2 linked regions of the Macaca mulatta genome follow. The main gene of each other region encodes a partner of the protein of the gene in region 2 in a complex. Links are inferred from orthologs where the notes say so. Each region holds a gene or a part of one and is shown on either strand. Other genes may lie near its edges.

Evidence for each region. Proteins that work in one complex are often made in the same cells at the same time.
Region 1: the proteins of EIF2B4 (region 2) and EIF2S1 are in contact, whole or in part, in a cryo-EM structure (PDB 6O81), measured with the Homo sapiens proteins. The link is inferred for Macaca mulatta from reciprocal best matches to the Homo sapiens genes EIF2B4 and EIF2S1. Residues at the interface, in NP_001029288.1 of Homo sapiens: Asn245, Glu246, Glu247, Arg250, Thr285, Ser520, Ser521, Asp522; in NP_004085.1 of Homo sapiens: Met30, Tyr33, Met45, Arg55, Arg57, Arg75, Glu79, Lys80, Tyr82.

What each region holds. Positions count from the first base shown.
Region 1 is NC_133412.1:140,529,303-140,532,955, reverse strand, and holds part of EIF2S1 (eukaryotic translation initiation factor 2 subunit 1), read right to left. Parts: intron 3,458-3,653; exon of another isoform or gene 2,190-3,457; 5' UTR 2,189-2,189; coding exon 1,948-2,188; intron 1-1,947. UniProt on the Homo sapiens protein: Member of the eIF2 complex that functions in the early steps of protein synthesis by forming a ternary complex with GTP and initiator tRNA. This complex binds to a 40S ribosomal subunit, followed by mRNA binding to form a 43S pre-initiation complex (43S PIC).
Region 2 is NC_133418.1:97,615,891-97,619,179, reverse strand, and holds the end of EIF2B4 (translation initiation factor eIF2B subunit delta), read right to left. Parts: coding exon 3,221-3,289; intron 3,072-3,220; coding exon 2,894-3,071; intron 1,198-2,893; coding exon 1,017-1,197; intron 900-1,016; coding exon 700-899; 3' UTR 652-699; downstream 1-651. UniProt on the Homo sapiens protein: Acts as a component of the translation initiation factor 2B (eIF2B) complex, which catalyzes the exchange of GDP for GTP on eukaryotic initiation factor 2 (eIF2) gamma subunit.

The sequences.
Region 1 (3,653 bases), on a different chromosome or scaffold from region 2:
CACCATGTTAGCCAGGATGGTCTCGATCTCCTGACCTTGTGATCCGCCCGTCTCAGCCTCCCAAAGTGCTGGGATTACAGGCTTGACCCACCATGCCCGGCCAACATATCCTTTCTTGTAAGTGTCGACTCACCTTCAAATTTTCAAGTTTGGCCTGCTTTTGGCTGCTTCTCATTGTCTTTAGGTAGTTATTTTTCATACTTGTTCAGGGTTTATGGCATTTACGTCGAAAGGCTTATCTAGCAGGACCTAATTCTCTAGTAAAATGAATTATCTCTACAGGCTGTTTTGCACTTTGCTCTTTTCCTCATCCTATCGTAGAGATCTTCCATATCAGAATACAGAATATTCAGATCTCATTCTGCATAAAATTGCATTGCATGCATTTGTACTGATTTATTTAACCAGTCCCCATTTTGGTCATTTCCTGGTTTTAGTTAATGCCATACAAACAAATGCTATGGAAATAGCTTTACATGTATCTACTGTATGTAAGCAAGTATGCCATTCCATATTTTTTCTGATTGCAACTAAAAACATATTTGATTCCTCCTTTTGTATATATTTCATACAATAGAAAAAGAAGGCTGAGCACAGTGGCTCACACCTGTAATCCCAGTACTTTGTGAGGCCAAGGCAGGAGGATCACTTGAGCCCAGTTCAAGACTAGCCTGGGCAACATAGTGAGACCCCATCTCTACAAAGAAAGTTAGCTGGGCAGGGTGGCACATGCATATAGTTCCAGCTACTTGGGAGGACTGCTTGAGGAACACTTGAACAGAGTTCAAGGCTGCAGCGACCTATGATCACACTACTACACTGCAGCCTGGGTGACAGAGCAAGATCCCAACTCTTAAAAAAAAAAAAAAAAAAAAAACCGAAGTACAAGATTAGACACTATTTTACGTACTACTAGGACAGTGATGTGAAGACTTACGTAAGTTTAACAAATAGTCTCAAAGTAGTTTAATAATTTTGGGTGGGGCTATAGCTAAGTCACAGCAAAACATTTAAAACAATCCATGTGCTAAGTAGCAGTCACTACCTAAGGCATAAGATAACCTCAAAATTTATGTATCATCTAAGGCTATAATAATAATAAAAAAAAAGTCAGTATGTATAAAATTAATCACTTGCAGAAGTGAGAAAGTATCAGTAAACTAGACAGCTAAGGAGATTCAGAAGGATAAGTTGAATCAAGGTGACTGATATGCAGCCCTTCAGACATGATAGTAACTAATGACCTAAAACTAACACCTAACAAATTAAAGTAAGATGGCTGAAATTAAAACCTACTTAATGGTATTGTATACCATGTTTTAAAAAACAGTATTCACAAAGGTGATGATTTACATGGGGTCCAGAAAAGGAATCCAATAAGTAAAAAATGGATAGTCATTCAAAACTGTCTGAAAGATACCACAGGATTTGGTAGACACAAACATTCTAATTACCAGCAAGATATACAATGTTAGATTTCAGGTGTGTATATACACACATAGTATATTGCTTCTTCAAGGCTTATATAAAAGATTCGTAAAACCCATCTGCCCCATTTTCATGCTTACCCAAAGATCTCATTACTACTTTAGCTTTAAATCAAGAAAAAAGGCATCCAACATATTCAGATCTACCAATGTAAATGAACTAGTACTCTCTTTAAGTTTAGTTACCATGATTCAATTACCAAAATCCTGATAAACACTAGAAATAAAATTCAAGTTATTTGATCCATAAAATCCTAGGATGTACTAATTAAACTACTATTAACTTAAGAGATCTTGTTTAAATAGCTAATTGACATGGTTTTCTAACCACTTTGTATGTAAGAGGTTTAAGTATAAAAAGAGCTTTTTTTCCCTAAGCTGCCGCATGCAATTTACAAAAAATGTATTTTTAAACCATTTTAAATCTGAAATTTATATTACAGATATTTTTCTCACTTACCTTTTTCTTTGTCCACCCTAATGACAACCACACACTCATTCCTGCCAATTCGGATGAGTTTGTTGATAGAACGGATACGCCTTCTGGATAATTCACTAAGAAGAATCATGCCTTCAATGTTGTTGTATTCCAGCAAGCTGACATAAGCCCCCATTTCAGCAATGGATCTGACATTCACCATCACTACATCTTCCACCTCAGGAAATTTGTGTTGATAAAATCTACAACTTAGACCCGGCATTCTGCAATTTAAACAAAAGAATTAAATAAGTGTTCAGTTAAGATGAAAAAAAAAAAATCAATTTCCACATCTTGCCACTGAAAGAAAAGATGAAGAAAAAAATAGTTATTAGTCTTAGTCTTCTCATCCTTTGAAACTTAAGTGGTACCAGAAAACAGATAATGTTCAGGAACCAAGCTTTAATTTTTACTTTGCTCAACATTTTTGTAATGCTTGGGTGATTCTCTGCCATTAGTTTCAGAGGAATCATAAAAAATAATGACCATCTATAAAGTACTCCAAGACCTAAGGATTAAAGGAATACCTCAAGAGTAAAATACTACTTTAAGGCATATCAAATGATGGGAAGCATCACTATTATAACTAATCAGAAAACTAAAGCTACTCTTCGCTGAAGTTAGCAAACATTGTATATGCTACCACTCACTATATAAAGGAAAGATTTTCTACCTAAATCTTAACCAATATACCATATGATATATTGTCATTTATTATAGCCCAAATTAGCGTCACATGTCAAAGCAACAAAAACTAAAAAAATCTTAATCACAAAATAAACTAAAATTCATCCTCCTCCTCTCATAATTTTTTTTCCTTGAATTCACAATGTCTAGCTTCTCTTATCCCCAATACTCCCAAATATTCCTTTCTTTTATTGAATAGGTATACTTAATCTTGAGAATAGCTTTAATCTCCATTACTACAAAGTTAAAGTTTCTCTTAACCTCCAAGCATTAAAGATATTTACAATTATTCCCTTTGATCCACCCAACCTACTTTCAGCACTACTCCTTCTATGATCCACAAGCCTGAAATCATAATCTGGGTAGAAGCACATTTAAAAAGGAAGCTCTCAAACTAATCATGGCTGATGATTTCCATGTTTTTCTGTTAACCTTCACTGTTGTCACTGCTCAAAACTTAAGTAGTAACATAACTTAAAGGCCTAAGAAAACTTTGTGAAAATTAATTTAATAACTTATTAATTGGCACCTGCCTATATCTTCCCAGTGGCTTGCTACTGACTTATATATGTTTTCACTACCTACAGAATCCTATATGATCTGGTCACTGCCTATCTCCTTGTGGTACAACTTTCTCCCTAGTTCTCCCCATTTTCTAGATTAAAAAAGTGAAGCACAGGTTAAGTTACTTGTTCTTTCACATACTGCTAACAAGTGATGAGTCAGGATTTGAATCCAGGAAGTTTGGATCCAGAGTCTGTCCTCTTTTTTTTTTTTGAGACAGAGTCTGGCTCTGTCGCCCAGGCTGGAGTGCAGTGGCCTGATCTCAGCTCACTGAAAGCTCTGCCTCTCGAGTTTATGCCATTCTCTTGCCTCAGCCTCTGGAGTAGCTGGGACTACAGGCGCCCGCCACCACGCCCGGCTAGTTTTTTGTATTTTTAGCAGAGATGGGGTTTCGCCGTGTTAGCCAGGATGGTCTCGACCTCCTGACCTCGTGATCT
Region 2 (3,289 bases):
TCACCGTGTTAGCCAGGATGGTCTCGATCTCCTGACCTCGTGATCCGCCCGTCTCGGCCTCCCAAAGTGCTGGGATTACAGGCTTGAGCCACCGCGCCCGGCCAGGACTCTTTTGAGACAGGGTCTCACTCTGTCACCCAGGCTGGAGTTCAGTGGTACGATCATGGCTTACTGCAGCCTCTACCTCTTGGGCTCAAGCAATCCTCCTGCTTCAGCCTCCTGAGTAGCTGGGACAACAGATGAGCACAACCATGCCCAGCTAATTTTTATTTTTTGCAGAGACAGGATTGCTATGTTGCCCAGGCTGGTCTCAAACCTCTGGGTTCAAACAATCCCCCTGCCTTAGCCTCCCAAAATGCTGAGATTACAGGAATGAGTCACTGCACCCAGCCCAGGACTATTTGTTCTCATATTCCTCCTCATACCTAGTTTACTATCTGGCATGTAGATGCTCAGTGAATGATTGATTTGGGTAGTTTTGGTTCTTTATACGGACCTTCAGGTTAGCCCCAATGCACTGGCATGGAGCTAGTTACCTGAGCAGGTCTTCACAAAGGTCTGAGGTTAGTAGCAGGTGATAAAAGGGGTTGTGGAGTCTGGACTCCTAACTTAAGAGGTGGAGATGCTAAAAGAGAAACAAAGGCAGCAGAGTTGCTGAAGGTAGGGACTATGGCATTTATTAACCCTGTGTTTTCCCCCTCACTGGTCACTGCTCTTGACTCGTAGAACAACAGGTACAGAACTGCAAGGGATCATCCCCAGCTCTGTGATCACCAGATCCACAAGCTCTGGGGGAGTCACATCATAGACTAGATTCAACAACCGTAGGGACGCGTGGTTCTGCCAGTTAGCCAGTGCGACATGTTCTCCCCGTTTACACTGCAGATCATCAGGGTCATCTGCAATGGAAGGTGTACCCATTACGTTCTTTTAGAAAAGAATTTCTAGTTTATCTGCCCCTCTCTCACTCTCAAGTCTTCACAGGTAGCTGGAGGCTTCTCTTTTGCCCTACTTACCTAGCTCATTAGAGACAAAGGCATCAGTCTGCACACGCTCACAGAACTTGTATGTTTCACAGCAAACCAGCACTGGTACATTATGGGCTCGAGCCACCAGGGCTAACTGTGCTGTCCCTACCCGTGACATCACAGACCCGTTGGCCAAGAGTGCATGAGCTCCCAATAGCACCTTGGAAACCTGTTTGTTTCACAGGAGAAGGGGAAGAGAAAAAATGTCATTGTTGTATCAATGCAGAATAAAGTCCCCTACTTACAGGACAGCAACATTAAGACAAGTAATAAATCTCAACATGGCCGGGCGTGGTGGCTCAAGCCTGTAATCCCAGCACTTTGGGAGGCTGAGACGGTGGATCACGAGGTCAGGAGATCGAGACCATCCTGGCTAACACGGTGAAACCCCGTCTCTACTAAAAAAATACAAAAAACTAGCTGGGCGAGGTGGCAGGCGCCTGTAGTCCCAGTTACTCGGGAGGCTGAGGTGGGAGAATGGCATAAACCCGGGAGGCGGAGCTTGCAGTGAGCCGAGATCGCGCCACTGCACTCCAGCCTGGGCGACAGAGCAAGATGCCATCACAAAAAAAAAAAATAAATAATCTCAACACCTGTGAAAAGAAGGGAAGGAAACAAAAACAAAGAGACAAGTAATAAATCTTTTTGTTTTTTGAGACCAAGTTTCACTCTTGTTGCCCAGGCTGGAGTGCAGTGGCACGATCTCGGCTCACCACAACCTCCGCCTCCTGGGTTCAAGTGATTCTCCTGCCTCAGCCTCCACAGTAGCTGGGATTACAGGCACACACCAACACTCCCAGCTGATTTTTTGTTTTTTTAGTAGAGACGGGGTTTCTCCACGTTGGTCAGGCTGGTCTCAAACTCCCAGCCTCAGATGATTTGCCTGCCTCGGACTCCCAAAGAGATAGGATTACAGGCGTGACCCACTGGGCCTGGCAAGTAATAAATCTTAATCATGGCTTTTCTTCTGTGAAAACATCTTAATGATGGCTCTTCCTCTGTGAAAACACCTGACCACTGACCCATCAAATCTCCCACAGGAAAACTAAACTTTGAAGTTACTTTTGTCTTGTTCCCTCTTCCTGGTTGCTAGTTTAATGTAATGTTTTTGCAATAGCTAGACTGCTGTAACATACTGTCAGTGTTTTTCCAATTAAATATAAACAGGGCTATGTAATTTTTTGTCTTGACACAGGGTTTCACTCTGTCGCCCAGGCTGGAGTGCAGTGGTGCAATCACAGCTCACTGCAGTTCCCGGGCTCAAGCAATCCTCCCATCTCAGCCTCCTAAGTAGCTGGAACTACATGCGCATGCACCATGCCCAGCTAATTTTGTATGTTTGTGTGTGTATGTGTGTGTGGAGACAGGGTCTCATTATGTTGAGCAGGCTGGTCTTGAACTCCTGGGCTCAAGTGATCCTCCTGCGTTGGACCCCCAAAGTGCTGAGATTGCAGGCGTGAGCCATGGCGCCAAGCCAGGACTATATAATTCTAATACTTTTAAATAATTGTGGCTGGGCACAGTGGCTCATGCCTATAATCCCAGTACTTTGGGAGGCCGAGACAGGGGAATTGCTTGAGCCCAGGAGTTCCAGCCTGGGCAACATAGCAATATCCCATCCCTACAAGAAGAATAAAAACTAGCTGGGCGTGGTGGTGCACACCAGTAGTCCCAGCTACTCAGAGGCGCAGGTGGGAAGATCACCTGAGCCCAGGAGGTCAAGACTGCAGTGAGCTGTGATCACGCCACTGCACTCCATCCTTATCTCAAAACAAAAACAAAACTAACTTTGAGAAGGTGAGATTACATCTATACTACTACACTTTTTTACCTCCAACTTTGGAGTCCTTTTCCTCTGTACTCACCTCTGGGAGCACATAGGAGGCTGCAGGAATCAGCAGGTAGGAGGCTGGGACACCAGCACGGACTAGAGAATGTAGCGTGTGCCTTCCTTCCAGCCGTGGCCGGCTGTCCACCACTACCACCCGAAATCGCCGGCCCTCTGTCCAAGCCTCCTGAAGAATTCGTGATACCAGAGATGAGCTAGAGGGAATGAAGAGGAGGATTCAGTTATAAATGTCAGTAACTGATGACTAACTTATTCCCAACTTATTCCCAAAGGCAAATGGGTAGTCCCTTCTTCAGATCATTCCAACTCCCCAGTTTGCTCAGTCACAGGGTCTGGACCATACCATCCATATACCAGGATCACATCTCCATTACTGATCTTCTGGTAAGCAAAGCGTGAAATTGCCTGAGCT